Elephas maximus indicus: one gene and its partners. The protein of the gene in region 1 purifies or fractionates together with the protein of each later gene. This does not show direct contact. Links are inferred from orthologs where the notes say so. Each region holds a gene or a part of one and is shown on either strand. Other genes may lie near its edges.

Region 1 (7,629 bases):
TTAACCTTTTTTTTTCTGCTGTTACCTTTTCTTTATTTTGTTGTTTATGAAGCTGGCTTTACTTGTCATACTAGCCTAAAAACAGTTCTATAACTGCAGGTAGGCTAGAAACAAAAAGTGTTTTTTTCCCAATGTAAGCATTGGTGACCTGTGCAAATAGCAGAATCGCAGCTAGATGACACTGTACAAGGCCCTATAGAATGGACCTTACAGACTTAATTTGAAAAAGGCAGACACACACAGGTGTCAGACACTGATACAATGATTAGGTATGTATATACAAAGAGGACTATAAAGACTAAATGATATGCATTATGTATCAAACAAAACATTCTCCTCCTGTCTAGTGAGGAGGTCTAAAAATAGTAATTATATTTTCTGTGGGGTAATGATTGGAGGATCAAGACACAAACCCTATTCATTGAATACTTGTACTAGATTCAGGGAATACAAACGTGAGTAAGAGGATCATCCTTAAGGAAATTTTCTGGGTGGGTCAGAGTTAGGATACCCCTCCTGCTTTTAATGGGGACTTTCTTAAAATAAGTGGAACTATTTTATAGCATTCAGAAGGAAGACAGACACCAACCCTGTGAAGCACCTAGAGGTGCTTCTTCCCTAGGTCTCATCCCTGGGTAGTTTTTCTGTCTTATTCCTTAACCCAGGCAGAGAGCAGACTCCATCCTTCACACTGTGCTTTACGCCCCTCTCTTTCTTTTTCAGTGACTGCCAGGTGGCCCGGGTCTCTGCCCAGGCTCGAAATGAGACAGTAGCACGGCGGCTGTGGGATGTCAGCTGTGACCTCCTGGGCATCCCACTGGACTGACAGGTGGTGGCAGCCAGACCTAAGAGCGGACTATTCAGCACCTGCTGTCAAAGCGACTCTCCTTCTAGGTGGCCAAAAGGGAGCAAAACCTTCCAGCCTTGCCTGCTTGATGTCCAGTAAAAGCCTGGTACACTGCCAGATTTGTCTAAATGCTTTTCATTTGTCTAGGCTGATTTTGCTCCTGATATTACCAGAGTTACTAGAGATGTCATAGGATGAGAAAGCCCTCATAGGACCTGCACAGCTCATCTTTTCCATCAGAAACCTACTACCTAGAAGAATCCAAGCTATGGGAGGGTTGACTCATGGGAATTTGGACTAGTTTCTACCGTCTTTATTCACTATGTAGTCCCTGCCAACCAGTCAATCTTCACTTCAAGAGAGCCACACTGCAGCCTCAGCTCAACCCCAGGAGTCACAGTGGCTTGGCTAAAGAATAGGGATTATCTCTCACCTCTTTAATTAAACCACCATTGCACCAATATCTAGAGTCTTTCAGAAAACTCTTAACTGAATCTGGATTAAGGCGTGGCCTGATCTCTGACAACCTGGAGCCACTCTTGTTAGGACACTTTCCCACATCTACACTGTAGAACTGCCTTTTCTAAGAAGGTTGTGGGGTTTGGTTTTAATTTGGGGGGTGGCAGAAATAAAGGTAAAGTTTGGAATGTCATTCTGCAGTTTCTCAGACCAGCAAGGAGAGGATAAAGGGGACAGTATGAAAAGACAGGCCACCTGATTTTCGTTACTGACTCCTTTCTGTGCTTAGAAAACTAGAAGGAGGGAACGGATATTTGGTCATTCTTAACTGAATATATCTTTGTGTGTGTTCCTGTATAACTATGCAATTGGGAGTATTTGCGCAAAATTCAAAACAGCCATAGAGGAATAGTATTAAACTGAGCCCTGGTGCAGGTAAATGATCAGAGATGGAGCAAACCACTTCATTTGGTCTTCAATGCAAACGGGTAGAGCTGCAAAGCAAAGCAGACCCTGCATATGTTGGTAACTACCTACCAGAAAAGCAAATGGATAACAGGAAAGAAGTCCAAAAAAGAAGCATCCTGGGAGATAATGCAAGCAATGGAGGGACTAATTGAAGATACAAAACAAACAAACAACAAGAACAAGAAAACGCTGTAAAAGAATTGAGAGAGCACCTAAGTTAGCAAGACTGATGAGGTGCTGTCTTAACTAGCACCAGTCAAACAGTGTGGCAGGAAAAAAACCCAAAACAAAACCAAAAAAATACCCAATTCCTATACAGAAAAATTATCTTAAGAACTGGTACTGGTGACTACATCCAATTTTAGGACATTTCCTTACATTATCTTGACAAGGTTAAAACGTCAATTTGTTTAAAAAAAAAATCTGTATTTGGAGAACTTTTATCAAAAGAAATGCTGCCAAAGGAAGTCAGAGGAATTGGTAATGTTCCTATCACTTGTTTGGAGTACGATACTGCAACAGAATTTGTGACTTTCTTGGACTGATAATTTATATGTTTAACTTTGGTGGATGAAAATAGTTATAGGACCACAATCTTCATTTCTTACTACAGTCATGCGCCACATAATGTCCATTTGGGCAAAGTCCAACCACATATATGTCCCATAAGATTATAATAGTTGAGAAATCCCAATCGGAGAACGGGACGTAGCAAACATAACTGGACATAGCCAGTGCAACAGCTTACTGCACACAATGTGTATATGGCATGTCTCTTGTACATAAAGCAATTGTGCTGCCAGGTGTATAATGGTACAGTGCATATATAACCTCTAATACATGTTTTGATAGTCATAGTAAATGCCTGTGTTAGTGGCTTATGTATGTACTACACTGTACTTTCTATCATCCCTAGGTTATAAACAACCCCTGTAAAGCCTATTATATTAAAAATTTGAGGTACACAGTGATTCGTAATAACACATGGGTGCTACTTTGCAATGCACATCAAAACATTACTATTACTCTATTGTTATGTTAAAGATGTTTTAGTGTATCTGGAAGTGTTTCTTTAATGTTTTTTATCCATAGAAAGGTAGACTATATATTATGACAAACACTTGACTAACTGATGTTAGATACAAACCATAACTAACCGTGCCAACTTAATGTACAAATTTGACTTTAAGTTGTACAAATTTAACTTAAAGACACTTAGGAACGGAACTTGTTTGTAATCCGGGGACTGCCTGTATATAATACGGTGTTCACACAATGATCAAATCACATAACATCCTATTGTATCATGGGTGTTAAGTGATGCATGACTGTGTTTGTAAATTAATAATTTTTGGTTGAAATTGTTTTGAGACCATTGAACTACATAAGTAGAAAGGGTCATATTATGGAAAAGCTAGAAATCTTTTGATGATAGTGTAGTAGAATAACTGAATTAATATCTTATTTATATTGAATGGTCAGTGGCAAATAAAAATTTTTTGATTATTTTTCATGTTTTTATTTACCAAAATAAAAACTCTGAGAATTAAGCAAAAAAAAACACTTTTCGTTATTATAGTTATGTAACCATTTCTCATCCTAAAGGATAATTTGTTCCAGAGTTTAATTACAATACAATCTCAAGTGGCCATTAATTTTCGTTTTGTGATCATCTGATTATTCATTTCATCCAATTCCCACTTATTTTTTATAACACTGTTTAAAAATCACTTTTACCCAGGTTTCCTTATCGTCCCAGGCTGTAGTCTCTCCTTTTTGCGCTGCCCCTTTATTCCCTTAGCACAATATGTTACAGCATTGTGAGACTTACTACAGTACAGTGCCACCAACAACCTCAGACTTTGTCATTTCTCTGTGCTCAGTGCATATCAGGAGCTCTTGTTGAATCAGTGGCCAGTGAACTCAATCTAAAATAAGGATCTAAGAGATATAAATCACCAAATCATTTCCCCCTGAACATTCATAAGCTTTTTAATGTTCATGGGCAGTTTAAATATTTCAGAATGTGCTCCGTAGGCAAACCATGAAATCAGTGAATTTCCTGCCACTGAACCATTTGTACCCATAAAGTATTTCCTTATGCCCATGGAGTGCGGGGAACTACATTAACACATTTAAAATCCACTCTTAGTGGCAGACGAGACCTGATGAAGCCAGGTCCAACTTCCCCACCAGATTATAAAGTACTAAAGAGTAGAGAGTAAATTCGTTTTATTCACCAACTTATTATGCCCAAATCCCTGCACAGTGCCTTCGCTTACCCCCTGTGGAGTGAACGTATGTACCCGGCAGCCTGCTGCACTAGGCAAGCACAGCCGTTAGAGATTGAGTGCAGACTTCAGGATCACATTGTCCGGGTTCCTTCTGAAAGCATATGACCCTGCCATAAGTCACCTGACCTCTTCAGTGAAAGTGCTGTACCGGCAAAGGTAAAGCTTTCGAGGGCTGAAAGCTAAAATTCTAGTCAGGACGTACCCCGAGAGCGGCAGGATAGCAGGTGAAGTGCGATAACGCTGAAGACAACGCCCGGATACCAAACCCTGAGAGTCAGGAGCCGCCCCTGGCGGAACCGCCCGTCTCTAACGACGCGTCACGCCTGAGTCGGAGCGTTTCCCACGCCGAACTACAGCTCCCGGCATGCACTGCAGCGCCCGCCCCTCGCCAGCCGGCGGGGCCCGGGAGGAAGGCTGGCCCTGCTGCCCGTCCAGCAGGTCTACCCGGGACCTTCCACTGTGACGCTTTCCCCAACCCTGGATCGGGTATTTCCGGGACTCGGGGACTGAGGTTCGTCCCGGTGTGGCACTGGTCCTCCGGCACCCGTCTGGGCTGCGCAGCTCGCCGGCTTTTCCGTCAGGCATTCACTCCTGGCGCTCGCAGGACGATGGGGAAGAGGGAGTGGGCGTTCCGGCTCCGGAGGACCCCGCTGCTGGCCCCGGAAGCGCCTCGTCCTGGGCGGTGGGGGCGGCGGCCGCAGTGATGGCTGCGGGGCTCGGTGGTTGACCGGTGGAATAGGAGTGGGCCCCGCACCCAGAATCTCGGCGCCCGCTGCTCAAGCGCGGTTTGCACCATGGCCACCTCCGCCGCCTCCTCAGAGCATTTCGAGAAGCTGCACGAGATCTTCCGCGGCCTCCATGAATACCTACGAGGGGTGCCCGAGCGGCTCCTGGGGACGGCGGGAACCGGTGAGGCAGGGGCGGGCCGGTCCTGTGGGAGCTTGGCCCCTCGCGCTCTTGGCGAAAGAGCCCCCACCCTTGTACCAGACCTGGGTTCTCTTCTCTCTGCGCCCCATCACAGACATTCCCCCCCGGTCCTGGCAGGGTCACTGCGCCCTGAATATCCCTGCTGTCATTTCGGGTGGGTCGGAGACGTTCTCAGGGATGGGCCTCAAAGTGTCGTTTCCCTGAGATCCTTTCTCTTGATCTTCTCGTGGCCCTCTCAAAAATTTCTCGCCTTATGTTTATCACTATGGCAATTAACATCACAGGGGTTCTTAAACCTACAGTCCTGTGTTTTAGTAGCACTGTTCTTTTTCTGTAACTATTTTGTTTTATGCGGTTTAAAACATTTTCTTTAAGAGAGATGCACAGTTTTCATCAGATTGGCAAAGGATACGTGGCTCGAAAAAGGTTAAAAACGCAGAGGAGTCATAAATTTGAGAGTTATTTGGGGAAGTTGGTAAATACCAGTTTCTGTTGTTCTTTTGCCGGGGAGGGTGGAGTTTACATGTTCCTATAATGAATTTCTGTCTGCTTAGACCATCCCCTGCCCCTTGATTTCACGATTCAGGTTGCTGCAAGCTCTGCCTGGAGGAACTGGAATTTTCTAGTTAAATCTATAGGCAGACCTGGCTTGCCAGAATGGTCTTGTTGGCATCAAGGCTAAGACTTTGTGTATTGTTTTGAGTGTCTCTGCTGAGAATGAGTGAGGCGTTGGTTTAGTGGTAGAATTCTCGCCTTCTATGCGGGAGACCCCGGTTGGATTTTCCAGCGAGTACACTTCATGCACAAGCACATCTGTCAGTGGAGTCTTGCCTGTTGCTCTGATGCTGAACAGGTTTCAGTGGAGCTTCTAGACTAAGGCAGACTAGGAAGAAAGGCCTGGTGATGTACTTCTGAAAATCAGCTAGTGAAAACCCTTATGGATCACAACGATCCAGTCTGTAGTCTGTCATGGGGACGGTGTAGCACCGAGCAGTGTTTCATTCTGTTGTTCATGGGATCCCCATGAGTAGGGGCCAACAGTGGGGATGAAATTCATGTACTTGATTAACAAGTATTTACTGAGAAGCACTGTCCAGATGTTGGTAATAACAGGCAGCATTAAGAGCTGTACAGAAAAATAAAGCAGAGTAAAGGAATAGTGAGGGAAGCAGTGATTTTAAGTAGGGTGGCTGCAGGGGCAGATTATCCAATAGGCAAGGTAAGCACTGTGCATACCTTGCTTACCAGATCATCTGTAATGAACAATTTCACACTTTTTCACAACATCAAAGATTCTGCTTCTAGCTATGGCTGGCATCTGTATCTCTCTCCTAACCCCACAGCACCTTCCTACAGAATCAAAGGTTCTTCTTAAATTTACAATCTCTGACAGGGGTGGATGACCCAGTAAGGAAGGTAAGCATGGCCTTACTTGTGCATATTTACTAATCTATCTGTAGTAAACAACTTCCAATGGGTTTTACCACCGGTTTGATGTGGCGAAACCCATGTGAAATTGTTCCCTACAGATGATCTCGTAAGCACCATCCTTGCCTTGCTTTTTGGATAATCTGCCCCAGAGTGGCTTGGGCAGATTATTTGTATTAACCTGACTTCCAGGGAATTTCTGATGCACGCTGAAGTTTGAAAGCCACCGAGCTAGAACACGAGCTTTATATTTTGTCTGTCTGTTTTTCATGTGTCTTAAGCACTTGGAAGAGCGTCTAGCATATAGTAGGAATTTCACAAATACATGAAGGATTGAATGTATACTGTGAACTGTTGGGAAGGAGATGCTAATATATGATTGGGTATTGAAAAAGCGTGGTTTTATTTCTACTCTACTGTGTTTTCCATATTTTTATTACTTTTAAAATGGACATATGCACCTGTTAGAACAACAAAAAAGATCTTTACTTTCCCAAGTACAGTCTTCATTCAGTTTCTGCCTTTGAAGAATGGCAGACACGGTGTATCCTGTTTTAGGATGTTTGTGTGGCTTTGCAGTCCATTTAGCGTATATGATAATTATTAATCCACTCAGTATTAAGCACCTACAGCCATAATTTCTAGTCTTGGTTTTGCAACGTCTGAAGAGGTCTCTCCAAATACTTCAGAAAAAAAACAAACCAAACCATTGCTCTCAAGTCGATTCTGATTCTATAGAACAGAGTAGAACTGCCACGTAGGGTTTGCAAGGAATGGCTGGTGGATTCGAACTGCCAACATTTTGGTTAGTGGCCGTAGCTCTTAACCACTACATCACCAGGCTTCAGATACCTCAGAGTGCTGTAAAATTTCTTAATACAGTTAATATGTTAAGTGCCTAGAGCTATAATTTCTAGTTTCAGTTTTGTAGCACCTGAAGGTGTGTCTCCACGTGTTTTCGTGTTAAAATTATTGAAAGTTTTTCAATTTACTTAAATTTCAGTAATTTTATGACACTAATACGTGGAAACAGAAAAAAAATCACTATAGAGTACCATATGCAGCAGCTTGGTAGACACCAATTACTCACTGACAGCAGAATTTTAATTATTCCAACTTTCTTCATATTTTTTGGTGAGTTTTGTTTTTACTCTTAAATCTCTTTCCCTAAGAATTTATTTTCAAAAACAACGGTGCTTGGTATTT
Region 2 (7,193 bases), on another chromosome or scaffold:
GATTCAAACTACCAACTTTTTGGTTAGCAGCCAAGTTCTTAACCACTGCGCCACCAGGCCTCCATAACTACAAGTACAATATTATTTTCCTATGAAAACTAAATTGATAAAGGTGAACAATAAAAATCCATACTAATGGAAGATACTTACTGGTACACCAGTGTTCATAGTAGTGTTATTCACAATGGCCAAAAGGCAGGAACAACCCAATTGCCCATCAATAAATAAATGTACAGTGAAACATGTGAGAGCTGGAACTAGAAGGGACTGCCTTGTTTTTCTGGGTCTCTTAAGTTTTTTGCCTTTGATAATCTTACCACTTTTCTGTATGAGTGGAAAATATTTTAGTTTTCCTGCTCTGACATGTTTTTGCTTTGCACAGATTCCAGTTTTCACAGGTTTTACTGTATAAACAAAATGTGGTCTATACAGAGAATGGAACATTAGTCAGTCATAAAAAGGAATGAAGTTCTGAAACATGCTATAACATGAACTTTGAAAACATTATGCTAAGTGAAATAAGCCAGATATAAAAAAAAAATATCGTATGATTCCGTTTACAGGAAATACTTTGAATAGGCAAATTCTTAAAGACAGAAAGTAGATTAGAGGTTACCAGAAGTTAGAGGGGAGGAGAGAAGGGGAGTTTATTGCTGATGGGCAGAGTTTTGCTTGGATGATGAAAAAGTTTTGAACAACATTGTGATTTCTCAAGTAATGACACTGAATTGTATACTTCAAAATAGTTAAAATGGCAATTTTGTTTTTCATATTTACCACAATCAAATTTTTATAGAATCATTGTAGAATTATGTATGGGTAAGAAAAAACTGTAAAACTTTAGGAAAAATTGTACAAAATCTAGACAGACTTTGCACTCAAATTGATTCAGCGGTGTCTTTGTTTTTGCTCCGCTTTGAAGAAAATGAAACTAGAAATTGTAAACAATGCAATTTGTAATAAAGACAATGGGATGCTCGAACCAGCAGATTCCCGCTTGGTTAAAAAGTCTTGGCCCTACGCCAAAGACTGGTGCACCCCGGCCCAGGTTAATACATGAGGTCTCTAAGTACAGTGTGCCCACTTCACTCACACAGAAGGAGCCAACTCAGTATGAAACATCTCTATTTTATGCTCAGATTACATAGCTGACACGACGTTTTCCAGGGAATCATACCCTTCAAATCCACCTGGGTTCCTAACGCATTTACCACAAACGATCCTAGCCCAGGGGCATGCTGCTAAAGGAAGTCCATACACACGGACTCTCTTGCTAGCAAATGCCATTTAAGAAGTTTAGGTTGCATCTCCTGCTTGCTTGCCGATCTGCTTAACTCTTTCCTTCTCAGTCACTTAGGGACGAAAAGTGATCTTCCACTGTCGATTTACATTTGAGGGATGGTGAACTTTTGTTTATATGCTTATAATTGATTTATATTTTTGTGTTGGATGAGATACGATTGCAACAAAATATTAAAAGCTGGAAAGTAGACGAATCAGTGGTGATCATCTTATTAGACTTGAGAAACACGACTCCTAAGCAGGCCATGAAGCAACCCGATTTATACAGCAAAATTAGAGGACCAAGATCTGAATAACTGGAGTTCAAGAAAGAGAAGATAGGATGAAATAATTCAAGTTGGTAAGGCTGGAACCTAGCACTAACTCCAAAGTTCAGTACTATTTATACCCTTTCAGGATGAGTATATATATTTGTTCCATATTAACTGTAAAATGACACTTTCAAAGCTTTCACGAATGTCAGGGATAGTCAAAGGGACTTTGTTCAGGTGAAAAAAGGTTGGGGCTTGCAGTACTCACCCTTCCCCAAAGAATCATACCCAATGATTGGCAGGATTAAAGAATTATGGTGAAAAAATAAACTAATAAACAAAGAGTGGATCATTCATAGAAGCTATGCAATGACATACCCCCACTGCTCAATAATCATATAACATTGCCTTAAGTTGACAGAGTATGGGCTGAGGGTATAATTGGCTAAAGCTATAATTGGCTGAGGCACCAAAGCAAGAAAGCCCCAATAGACAAGCAGATAAACCCATGAAAACAACTAATCTAATAAAAAGAACATCTGTATGGAAGCCCTGGTGGCTTAGTGGTTAAGAGCTACAGCTGCTAACCAAAAGATTGGCAGTTCAAATCCACCAGGCACTCCTTGGAAACTCTATGGGGCAGCTCTACTCTGTCCTTTAGGGTCACTATGAGTTGGAATAGACTCAGTGGCAATGGGTTCTTTTTTTTTTTTTTTTGGTATCATCTACAGAATCTGGGATAGTCTCACCATCATGCCCAGGCAAAGGAACTATGAGAGGCTTCCGTTCAGTCTAAGTCAGCCTGGTTCTCAAGCAGTAGACTCACAGGTAATGTGTGAGTCTAACACCAGGCTTTCAGGAGCTTCCACCTACAATGCCGTGGCTCACTGTTTCTCACCAATCAATCGGAATCTCAAAGTAGTGCCTGGGCATAAGCGCTTTCTAAAGCTCCCTGGTGATTCAATGTCACATGATTCACCTATGGGTTGAGAGTCTTTGCCCTAGACAATGCATCTTTCAATTTGTTGGTGCATTTTTAAGTCAAAGCAAACACCAACCAAAAGAGCAGCTGGTAAGAGGGTGTCTATTCTTTCCTCTCTTTGTGTCCCAGAGCTTTCCTCCTCTTGTTGTCTCCTCCTTCTTAGACATTCATCCTTATTTTTATGATGTCTTTTTAAAGTGCCTGGCACAGCATTTCAGATCGTTAAAACACAGTATCAGCAAATGACCCATAGATAACTTAAAAAGATGTGTAGTAAACACATGACAGGAAAAAGGAGTAAAACAATCCAGCTGGGCATGTGTGGGAAGAATGGATAAATAAAACAAATAATAGAGAGCAGAGACAACATTAGTTGTTTGTATTAGTATATCCAGCTATTGCAGGCATAGAGGTTTAAATATGACATGAAATGGGGAGGGGAGGAGGTAGTGAACAGAACAGGCATGGTCACCCAGAGGTGATTTCCCACCTGAAACCTGAAGGCTCTACCGTATGTTTGGACTTAATTATTCTAGGTTACAACTAAGATACAAACTGTCTTAGTCATCTAGTGCTTCTATAACAGAAATACCACAAGCGGAGGGCTTCAACAAAGAGAAGTTCATTGTCTCACAAGCCAGTAGGCTAGAAGTCTGAATTCAGGGTGCCGGCTCCAGGCGAAGGCTTTCTCTCTCTCTGTCTGCTCTGGAGGAAGGTCCTTGATGCATCAATCTTCCCTTGGCCTGGGAGCATCTCAGCACAGGAACCTCAGGTCCAAAGGACACGCTCTGCTCCCAGCGCTGCTTTCTTGGCTTATGAGGTTCCTGTGTCTCTCTGCTTGCTTCTTTTATAGCTCAAAGGAGACTGGCATAAGACCCTATCTAATCTTGCAGACCTCATCAATATAACTGCCACTAATTCATCTTATTACATCAAAGCAATAGGGAAATCACATCAGATGATAAAATGATAGACAACCATATAATCATACAAGGGAATCATGATCTAGGCAAGTTGACAGATTTTGGGGGGCGGGCACAACTCAACCCATGATAGAAGGGAGAGAACACTGTCCAAACTAGCTGTGTGAGCTCACAAGTCTCCTCTTTGAACCACAGACTCCTCATACCTAAAACGAGGAGACCCGACTAGCAACCCTCAGCATCTGTTGCCAGGTCTGACTCTGATTCTATGAACAGGGATCAAACGGACTTCCTTCCCTCACAAAAGGCCCTACACAGCCCGAAGCCTTGGGCTGCGAGCCATCCTCCTCTTACTACTCGACTTCCTTTGCGGAGGCTGGGGCGACCCTCTAACCGCATCATCAACCTCAGTCACGAGCACGCCCTCGGCGCCCCACTGCCGCATCCCCCGAGCGCCCTCGCGCGAGCCTGGTCCTGGCTGGGACCTAGAGACCCAGTTGTTCCTCCCCGGAAGTATGCTGTAGTTCCGGGATCCGGGTCTACGCTCGGGCGGCCACAGGTCTGCCCACACAGAGGAGGACCTAATCGACTCTCTCGACGATCTTCGAGTCCTGGCCCCGCCCCCCCGCCCGGCGCCAGGCCGCGGAGCGCCGATGGGCTCGATGAGCCGGGGGCGCCCTGCGGCGGAGCGGCGGGGGACGGGTCTGCGGCCGCTGCCTCGGGCTCCCGCCTTCCTGCCTGCTGCCCGCTCCTTCCCCCGCCCGCCCGGCAGAGCCCGCTCTGGAGAGCCGCCCGAGCTCCCCCACAGCCACAGGTACTGGCGCCGGCGGATCGCCACGGGGGGGCCGGCGTTGGAGGAAGGGAGCGGGGACGACGCCCCTGCCCCGCCTCCCCCAACGTCCGGTCGGAGCGGGCCCCTGGCCGGGGGCGGGGGGCGAGGGAGGCCGGGTCCCGGGGGGCGAGGGGGGGGCGGGGGGCGGGGGGCGGGGGAGGCCGGGGGGCGAGGGGCGAGGGAGGCCGGGACCCGGGGGGCGAGGGGGGGCGGGGGGCGGGGGAGGCCGGGCCGCCGGCGGGGGGCGCGGGCGGAGGGGGCTGAGGGATGGGGGCCGGGGTGCCGCGGGGAAGGTGGGCGAGCCCTGGGGTGTGCGGATGGGGGCGGCTGAGAAGAGGCCCGGGCCCTGAGGGGTGCTCTGGGGGGTGGGAGGACAGCAGTGCCTGGGACGGGGAAGGCTAGGCGGAGCGGGCGGAGCAGGGAGGCCGGAGGCAGCAGCCGCGGTCGGCGGACGGGGTCTGTGCGGCCCCCGGCTGTAGGAAGGGCATGGAGCTGGGGAGAAGGAGCGTCAGCCCTGCGGCGTTTGGACGACGGGGAGGTGGCGTCGGTCATTCACGCTTTGACAGGTTTTGTGACTGGCGTCTCCAGGCTCTGTCCGTCCGAGACACTTTATTTCCGTGAAACTGCACCCACCAAGCCTGCTGACGCGCGAGGAGGGAAGAGGAGGCAGGAAGGGAGTGGAGGCAGAGGAAACGGAAGCCTCTGCTCGGATTCAGGCTTTTTGCCAAGTGAAATACATAGGGTTTTTGCATAAGGCAAAAAAGAAGCCAACATTGATTAAACAACGTGTTAGAAGTTTATTACGTGTAAAACCACTGAATAGGGAAACCACTGGATAGAGAACGTGCCACTTCTTTAAAAATACATATATTAAAATTTCAAGGTACGGCGATGGCATAGGAAGCATATCCTGATGTGACAGTTTTCAGTGAGGTTAGTGGTTGTCTGTCCTAAGTGTTGCAGTAGGTCTTGAAGGCGCTCTTATTTCATATGTACCTAGGCACAAACACCTAATTTCCATGGACTGTTTTGCCGGTGAAATCTTAGAATATGTGCCAGTCTGATTTCTGCGCATGGCTCATTTCTACTGGTTATTTGGTACAAATGTCGTCAGTTGCCCTGATGTATCAGTGTAGCTAATTAATGCCTCCTCCTTTGCTCATGGCTTTTCTGTTTGGCAGACACTGGTTTCTTGCTTTCATGAGCCTGATATTTGGATTATCACACCTGGAAATCATGTTTGCTCATCATTAAACTTGTGGCTTTACCCTATATTTCATAAAGATGTTATGCCAGTCTGTTGTTTGCTTTGGGATGTTGAGGCAGCCCGTTTGTAGGATTTAAAAGGTAAATAAGCACAGGTGTGCATACCTGATATGTATTTATATATATATGTATATGAAGCACCTCAGATTCTTCAGTTGCTTCCTTTGTCATCCATTTTTCCATGCATTCTGAAACATTTCTGCATGAACGAATCATTCTGAAATCAAAGTATGATAAATGGCCAGAGGTACTGACAGAAATATTGTGGAATGAAGAACTCTGCAAGAGTTTGGTTGTTTCAGGTGTTTAAATTCCTACTTCGGAAGCATTTCTTATCCAAGAAAACTGTCTGTGACAATTTATTTTGACAGGAAGCTGATTTAGAATATTAACTTTTATTTGGTTTACGAAAGTGGACTCTGACAGCATTTGAAGATTTTAGAGGCGTTTCTTCTTGTGGGGCTTTTCTGAGGGCTACCTACTGGGTTGTTAGAGGGAAGGCTGCCTTTCTAAAAGAATTTTATAACCTGGTGAGCAACCAATTGAGTAAATATTGAAAGTGATAATGCACAGCCTTAGACTGGTTTAAGCTGATATTTCTGCTATTTAAATGAGTTAAGTGACTAACACTGTTACTTATTTCTAGTAAGCCTCAATTTTCTTTTAATTTCCAGTGCCTGCTTTGAGGGAGTGTTGTAAGGATTAAAAGAAAGTGCAGGTAAACACAGGAGCAGAGTGCCCAGCACGTAGTAAAACATTTAGAACATTTTAGGTGCTCTTGATAATCACCTCCTAAGCCGAGATTCTGAAATCTCGTATTGCGCGTAGGACAGCTTTTTCTCACATAAATGTTGACTATGTTGCATACCCAGGCATTTTTCTGGAAAGTCACAGTGCATATGAGCGCATTAAAGGCTGTGGGAAGTTCTGTAGCAAACAAAACTGCCTTCATTTAACCCAGTCATTACCAAACTTGTCCTGTGCCTTGAATGTTAGAGTTTGCGGAATGTTTTTGCATGTATTATCTAATTTGATCATTCCAACTCCATGCAGAAGCCTAAAAATCACCATTTTACAGAAAAGGAAATGGAATCTTGTTTCAGCAGCTAAAAGCGAGAGAACTAAGACTTCCACTGTTTTCTGACTCCAAGTTAAAATCTTAGAGTCATTATGTTTTAGTTTCAGAGGACCACTTCCTATTTTTCCCTTTTCCGGGACTATTTGCTCTTTTATTTTGCAAAAACCTTAAGTCACTCATTTCCTCTACCCACCCCCCCAAAAAAAAAACCAAACCCAGCGCCATCGAGTCGGTTCTGACTCATAGCGACCCTACAGGACAGAGTAGAACTGCCCCATAGAGTTTCCAAGGAGTGCCTGGCGGATTTGAACTGCCAACCCTTTGGTTAGCAGCTATAGCACTTAACCACTACGCCACCAGGGTTTCCTCATTTCCTCTACAAGTGCTCCTAAGGTTTTAGCTATTTCCCATGGTTTTAGCACCTCATACATGTCGAGGCCCAGCATGAGAGGGGAGTAGTCAGAGTCAAGAGAAGTGAGGCTTACATCCAAAAGTCTCAGATCTGATGAAATTTATTTTCTCTTAAAGGTGGTAAATTGTTACTCTACTGGGAAGTAGG
Region 3 (7,637 bases), on another chromosome or scaffold:
AGACGAAAATGATGTCAGAAGAGTCTCTGAAACTTGCTCTTGAATGTGGAGCAGCTAAAGCAAAAGGAAGAAATAATGAAATAAAAGAACTGAACAGAAGATTTCAAAGGGTGACTCCACAAGACAAAGTAAAAAAAAAGTATTATGATGACATGTGCAAAGAGCTGGAGTCAGAAAACCAAAAGGGAAGAACACACTCAGCATTTCTCGAGCTGAAAGAACTGAAAAAAAAAAAAATTCAAACCTCAAGTTTCAATAGTGAAGGATTCTATGGGGAAAATATTAAACGAGACAGGAAGCATCAAAAGAAGATAGAAGGAATACACAGAATCATTATACCAAAAAGAACTGGTTGACGTTGAACCATTTCAAGAGGTAGCGTATGATCAGGAACCGATGGTACTAAAGAATGAAGTCCAACCTGCACTGAAGGAAAAAAAAAAAAAGCACTGGTGAAAAACAAGGCTCCAGGAATTGACAGAATATCAATTGAGATGTTTCAACAAATGAATGCAGCGCTGGAAGTGCTTACTTGTCTATGCCAATGTTAAGAAATTTGGAAGACAGCTTCCTGGCCAACCGACTGGAAGAGATCCATATTTATGCCTATTCCCAAGAAAGGTGATCCAACCGAATGTGGAAATTATCGAACAATATCATTAATATCAGATGCAAGCAAAATTCTGCTGAAGATCATTTAAAAACGGCTGCAGCAGTATATTGACAGGGAACTGCCAGAAATTCAGGCTGATTTTAGAAGAGGATGTGGAACCAGGGATATCACTGGTGATGTCAGATAGATTCTGGCTGAAAGCAGAGAATACCAGAAGGATGTTTTCCTGTGTTTTATTGACTATGCAAAGGCATTCAACTGTGTGGATCATAATGAATTATGGATAACATTGCAAAGAATGGGAATTCCAGAACACTTAATTGTGCTCATGAGGAACCTTTACATAGATCAAGAGGCAATTGTTTGGACAGAACAAGGGGACAACGCGTGGTTTAAAGTCAGGAAAGGTGTGCGTCAGGGTTGGGTCCTTTCACCATACCTATTTGATCTGTATGCTGAACAAATAATCTGAGAAGCTGGTCTATATGAAGAAGAATGGGGCATCAGGATTGGAGGAAGACTCATTAACAACCTGCGTTATGCAGATGACACAACCTTGCTTGCTGAAAGTGAAGAGGACTTGAAGCACTTACTAATGAAGATCAAAGACGACAGCCTTCAGTATGGATTGCACCTCAACATAAAGAAAACAAAAATCCTCACAACTGGACCAATGAGCAACATCGTGATAAATGGAGAAAAGATTGAAGTTGTCAAGGATTTCAATTTACTTGGATCCACAATCAACAGTCATGGAAGCAGCAGTCAAGAAATCAAAAGATGCATTGCATTGGGCAAATCTGCTGCAAAGGACTTCTTCAAAGTGTTGAAGAGCAAAGATGTCACCCTGAAGACTAAGGTGCACCTGACCCAAGCATCATGTGCATGCGAATGCTGGACAGTGAATAAGAAAGACAAAAGAATAGTTGACACCTTTGAATTGTGGTGTTGGCGAAGAATATTGAATATACCATGGACTTCTTAGAAGAGGATAACCAGAACGCTCCTTAGAAGCAAGGATGGTGAGACTGCGTCTTACATAACTAGGACATGTTGTCAGGAGGATATAGTCCCTGGAGAAGAACATCATGCTCGGTAAAGTGCAGGGTCAACGCAAAAGAGGAAGACCCTCAACGAGATGGATTGACAAAGTGGCTGCAACAATGGGCTCAAGCATAGCAACAATTGTGAGGATGGTGCAGGACTGGACAGTGTTTTGTTCTGTGGCCCATAGGGTCGCTATGAGTGGGAACCGACTCAACAACACCTAACAACAACAACAACAACACAACCCTGGTGGTATAGTGGTTAAGAGTTAGGCTGCTAGCTAACTAGCAGTTTGAATCCACCAGGTGCTCCTTGGAAACTCTATGGAGCAGCTCTACTTTGTCCTATAGAGTTGCTATGAGTCAGAATCGACTCAACGGCAACAGGTTTTTGTTTTTTTTTAACGACAACTGAAGAGCTCAGCTGCAAACCCAAAGGTCGGCAGTTCCAACCCACCATTGGCTCTGAGGGAGAAAGATATGGTAGTCTGCTTCCACAAAGATTACAGCATTGGGAACCCTACAGGGCTGCTGTGAATTGGAATCGACGCAACAGCAATGGTTTGTGTTTTTTTTTATTACTCCCCCCCCAAAAAACTTTTTATTACTAGATATTATAATTAGTAGGTTTTTTTCCAAATTACTGAAGTTTTATGATTCCATGGTTTATGTTTTTATCATTTGAACACATCATTTCTGTTCTATTAAGTCCATTCACTGTTGGTAGATACTCCAGGTCACCTGGCCTCCCATTGAGAACATTTAATCAAAGTCTTATATGCCCCAAATCCTCGCAAAACAGAGCTCTGGGATGAAAAAACTCATAGTTATTAATCCAGTTAGTGGCAAAGCATTGGTCTTTAAGGTCCAAAGATCTCTAACCAGCAAGGGCAGATGGGGGATAGGGTGGCACAATGACACTGTTTGAATCTGATTTTCCTGAGTCCCTCCTTTCCAGACTGCCTGGATAACAAGCCTCCTTTCCTTAAGAGCAGAATGAATCTACTCTTTTATTTGGTCTACAAGACCTCTGTGGCAAAGATGAAGATTGTAGTTTGAAACTCATATTACTACCCTGAAGGAGTGGTCAGAATACCATGGTGACAATTACCCTGATGGCAGAGACTTGGAGATTTAGCCAGAACACTGGCCACAGGACAGGAAGCACCCCAGGCCAGCCTCAGCTGGACTCCCACCACTTTCCTGAATGGGCCACAGCAATCTTTTGGAATCCTCTGCAGCAAACCTTTCTCTTCTTCCCTGTCCCTACAAAGGCAGAAACAGCAAGGAGCAAATCTCTGAGCTCCATCCTTGTATTCTGGCAGGACTAGTGCCTACCGATCTGACTCCTCCCTTTAAGAAGCTAGGATTTGGTTTCTTAGTTAAAGTTCAACATTGAAAAGATAGCAACTTCGTTTACTCACAAGTTCAGGCCAATCTCAGGCAGATGGGTTAAGGCGGGGGCAAGCGTGAGAGGGCTATTTTAACCTTATCCAGGTCAAAAGTAGGTCACGTAGGAAATCTTTAAGATCGATATGGCACTCAGGCCCCTCTCTTGGTTGGTCGTAAGCCATGTGTTTGATCTGGATTTCCTTGGTTGCCCTCAGGCCCTAACTAGACCAAGCTTCCCAGAGCCAAGACGAGTGCTCATTATTTCTTAGCCCTTTGGACTAGTGGCCAATCTGTCACTATTCCGAACTTCCTTGTCCCTTTCCAGCCTGCACTGATGTCCCCAGAGAATTGGGGCAGCAGTGGGCCAGACGCAGATGAGACGGAGTAAGTGGTTGGTCATTGTGCCCTGGACAAGCATCCCATTACATGCGCAGAAATTAATTCATTAAACTCCCTTGGGAACCGTATCTACTCCTAGGAACTGAATAAGAGAACTTAGCTTTAACAGAGTTTGGCTCCAAAGGACTCTGCCATCTCCAAAGAAACTGGTGACCTTGGCAAATCATTAACATCCCTGTGTCTCAGACTCCTCATCTGTAAAATGAGGATAATAACAGTATTTGCCTCATTGTGAGAGTAAATGAGATAACACTAAGGACAGTGGCTCACACTCAGTAAATGTTCAATGAGCAAACCCAAACCTGCTGACGTCGAGTCAATTTCTGACTCATAGCAACCCTATAGGACAGAGTAGAACGGCCCCATAGGGTTTCCAAGGCTGTAAATCTTTACACAAGATTTCTTCCTTGGAATGGCTGGTGGGTTCCCACCACCGAACTTTCAGTTAGCAGCCGAACTCTTTAACCACTGTGCCAACAGGGCTCCACAATCCCCCTCCACAAACCTCGTAGCATATCTGCCGTATGAAGTTGCCTAATAGTTTGGCCAAATTCCTTCTGAAAGAGCTCTGGAACCACAGTTGAGAGGAAGTTGCCATACACCTGGCATTTTCTTAGCCCCTCAAAGCCTCTCTCTCCTAGGAAGCACCATATGCTGTCTGAAAATTTTTTCCTATGTGGTCATTTGCAGAATGTACAGCAAAATACACCCCAGTCTGGTGGATAGTGTACGGAATCTGTCCAGCCTGTGAGACCACAGCAAATCTTGAAACCTCTCTGAATTTATCTACAAAATGGGAATATTACCTTCGCCACAAGTATATTGAGATAACGCATATCCAGCCTTTAACACTTGCCTGACACGAGGTAAGACCTACATAAACAAATTGTGTCACATTATCATAGCCAGATAATGTATATGAACATGTTTGTTGAGGATGAGACACAACTACTGCTTACTCTGAAAACAAGCCTGCCTTTCTCTATGGGTACAAACGTTTCCTCCCCCTCAGCCGGAGGGTAGAAGCCTGAGAAAACAGCCCTTGCTCCGCCCCCCCAGAGCCCCGCCTCCACGGTCGTGTGACGCTTTGCCCTGGCCCCGCCGACGAGGGGCGGGGCTTGTCTTGGACACGTGAGCGCGGGTGCGGAAGTAGTGCTGTGGGCAGCGTTCGTGGTTGGCCGCCACCAAGGGTCCCGGGGCGGGGTCAGGCCTGCCGGACGCGCCGGGAGGAGCCCGGGGAGGAGGCTGCCGCGGGGGCCGGCTCCAGAGTCTGGGATTCGCTTCTCGACGCCGACTGAGCGCTGGACCTGCGGCCGTCCGGTGCACCCGCTCCTGCGCGCGCGCTCGCTGCTCTGGATCCTCCAGGCCGAGGCGCCGGCGGCTGCGGGAGGCCGGTGGATTGGGCGGAGGAAGGCCAGGAGGGCGCGGGCGCCCTGTGCTCTGATCAAGCGTGAGGCGGCCGGGGGCCGGGACGCCATGTCCATGGAAGACCCCTTCTTTGTGGTGAAAGGGTGAGTGTCGGCGAGGGCTCTAGTGCAGAGGGGCGGCTGTGCTGCCTGCCTGCACTTCTCTGCTCCCCTGGCTGTAGGGGGAGGGAAGCAAGTTGAGGCTGGGGAGGGGACAGTGGGGACGGCTTAGCCTCGAGAGCCATGACCAAGCGTCCAGAGACACCCCCTCCCCGCCCTACCTGGACGGTGAAACCTGCGCTTCCATCCAAGCCCCTGGTAGGGGCCTCCCTTGGGCCTGTTCGCTGCAATACAACTTCTCTTGGCGTCAGGGGGTTCAGCAGCGCTGCAGGTGGGGAGAGGCACAGGCCCTAGCTAAAACAGGGGTGGTAGTCGAGCTTGGCACTCTGCTTCGAAGGAGGGAAAACAGCATCTGGGCAGGAAAAGGGAAATGGACCTCCTGAGCTTTGTAGTTAGCGTTGACGGGGGTGAGCTCCCATTGTCCATTGAGTTTGGAGCGCTCGCCCGCAGACCGGTGACACCACAACCTGCCCAGAGGCGGCCGAGCACGTTTGGAGGGAGGGAGGCGGGGGCGGGTGTTGATGTGCGAGACTGGGGAGCTTTGCACCGGAAGACAGCTCAATTCATTGGGGGAGTTTTTACTGAGCAACGTGATGAGAGGAAAACAGTCGTTCATACCCAGTGATGGTGTTGGAAGGAAAACAAAATGAAATCAGCCAAACTAAACTTTCAGCTCTCTATTAGCAACCGGGATTTTCCCACACTGCTAAAGGAAATGAGTGGTTTCTTTTAACTCCGTGATTTCAACGAGGCTGTTTGACAGGTTCCCCCCACCTCTTCTTCTGCTTTTCAGAATGGAACTGCCTTACTTTATTTTTCCCTATTAGCTGTCAGGACTCCATCTTTGGAGACAGAAACTTAAATTTCACTTTGTTTTATCAACTGTATGGCCATTAAACAGATACATGAAAGATCTGATTCTGATATGGTAACTTATTTCTCATAACTTGTCAGCTCTATGTTATACATGTCAAATTTAAACAACAAAAATCTGACAACTACAAAGGTCCGGCAAGATCAGTACTAATAACCATCAAGTACCCCCTTGCTTTCAACCAGTTGTTACTAGCTTCCTGTTTCCGTAGTGGTTAAAGCTAACCAGTTGCTTGGGTGTTCATTGTTTTTGAAGGCCCTGTTATCCTTTATTCTCAGTATATGTAAGTAGTACTTTAGGTAAAATGGAAGCCCTGGTGGCGTAGTGATTATGTGCTGTGCTGCTGGCCTAAAGGTCAGCAGTTCCAGTCCACCAGGTGCTCCTTGGAAACTCTGTGGGGCAGTTCTACTCTGTCCTATAGGGTTGCTATGAGTCAGAATCGACTTGATGGCAAGGGGTTTGTTTAGGTAAAACACTTTATTATCAACGGTACAATATAATTCATTCATACTACTACTTTCCATTTTCCTAGAAAGGTTTTTCTTCCCCTTACTTTAATTTAGGTGGGGAAATACTGAGTTATAGACTTACTAAAAATATGTGGCTCTCTACCCGGAGAATGTGTTGTTTACTAGAAAGATTGGTTTAGGGGTAAATTTAAAATTTTTTAAACTGTGTGTTTTTCTTTGAAAGTCTTTAATGCCTAAGTTGCAAAAGTTATCACTGGCAGTGGAGATCAAAGATGATGATTTTTTTGTTTGATTTTTAATGGAATTTGCAAAAACCCTAAATTGTTTTGCCACCCTGACATTTCCCCCTGATCGTATCCAATACAGTCTACCAATGCTTGTTCATTGATAGGGTATCACTACTTTATTGGAACGTTGGGTTGGAGTTTTGGTTGACATTTCTTAGTATATCATTTTAGCTCCTGCTCTTAAGGTAGTCGGAAGGAAAAGAGACTCGATACCTTCTACAGTGGAAAGGTAAAGTCAGCCATATGGGTGTCTCCAAATTGTTTGTGTGATGGCATATTTGGGGAGCCTTGTACTTCCGTTGGAGCCCTGGTGGCATAGTGGTTAAGAGCTTGGCTGCTAACCAAAAGGTCGGCAGTTTGAATCCACCAGCTACTCCTCAGAAGTCCTATGGGGCAGTTCTGCTCTGTCCTATAAGGTCGTTATGAGTGGGAATTGACTTGATGACAATGGGTTTGGTTTTTGTGTTTTTTTTTTTTTGATACCTCCATAGGGTCAGAATTGACTTGATGGCAACACGTTTGGTTTTTTTTGGTTTGTACCTCCATTTACTAAATGTGTTGAAAATGTACTATGCAATGTGGAAAAATTAAAGTCACCTAAGTTATGGCTCTTAGCCTAGGAGTTTACAGTTTAATCTGGGAAACAGCTTACTCCCAAACTAAGTAGAAATGACAAGCAGTAGATGATTAAGTGCTGAAGTGATTGCTGCAGAATAGTGCCCCAGAGTTCAGAGAAAGGCAACTCACTAGAAATTGTTGTGGTTGGAAAAACTGTCTGGAGGTAGTAGTAGGTCTCGAAGGAGCCCTGGTAGTACAGTGATTAACGCTTGACTACTAACCGAAAGGTTGGCAGTTTGAACTGACCAGCCACTCCGCAAGAGAAAAACGTGGCAGTCTGCTTCCATAAAGATTACAGCCTTGGAAACCCTATGGGGCAGTTCTGTGCCCTGTAGTGTCACTATGAGTCAGAAACCACTCAATGGTAATGTTTTTCCTTTTTTTTTTTTTTTTAGTAGGCCTTGAAAGGAGC

Evidence for each region.
Region 2: the proteins of VTI1B (region 1) and VAMP4 purify together in Homo sapiens (affinity purification with mass spectrometry; 4 studies listed by BioGRID and IntAct, counting the BioPlex papers as one, with this or other methods). This does not show direct contact. The link is inferred for Elephas maximus indicus from reciprocal best matches to the Homo sapiens genes VTI1B and VAMP4.
Region 3: the proteins of VTI1B (region 1) and STX6 purify together in Homo sapiens (affinity purification with mass spectrometry; 3 studies listed by BioGRID and IntAct, counting the BioPlex papers as one, with this or other methods). This does not show direct contact. The link is inferred for Elephas maximus indicus from reciprocal best matches to the Homo sapiens genes VTI1B and STX6.

The regions. Positions count from the first base shown.
Region 1 is NC_064828.1:80,026,217-80,033,845, reverse strand, and holds the start of VTI1B (vesicle transport through interaction with t-SNAREs homolog 1B), read left to right. Parts: upstream 1-4,567; 5' UTR 4,568-4,862; coding exon 4,863-4,977; intron 4,978-7,629. Other genes in the region: RDH11 (retinol dehydrogenase 11), read left to right, coding at 724-826. UniProt on the Homo sapiens protein: V-SNARE that mediates vesicle transport pathways through interactions with t-SNAREs on the target membrane. These interactions are proposed to mediate aspects of the specificity of vesicle trafficking and to promote fusion of the lipid bilayers.
Region 2 is NC_064821.1:211,691,006-211,698,198, forward strand, and holds the start of VAMP4 (vesicle-associated membrane protein 4), read left to right. Parts: upstream 1-4,088; 5' UTR 4,089-4,272; intron 4,273-4,680; exon of another isoform or gene 4,681-5,223; intron 5,224-6,230; exon of another isoform or gene 6,231-6,274; intron 6,275-7,162; 5' UTR 7,163-7,193. UniProt on the Homo sapiens protein: Involved in the pathway that functions to remove an inhibitor (probably synaptotagmin-4) of calcium-triggered exocytosis during the maturation of secretory granules.
Region 3 is NC_064842.1:44,143,136-44,150,772, reverse strand, and holds the start of STX6 (syntaxin-6), read left to right. Parts: upstream 1-4,576; 5' UTR 4,577-4,926; coding exon 4,927-4,961; intron 4,962-7,637. UniProt on the Homo sapiens protein: SNARE promoting movement of transport vesicles to target membranes. Targets endosomes to the trans-Golgi network, and may therefore function in retrograde trafficking.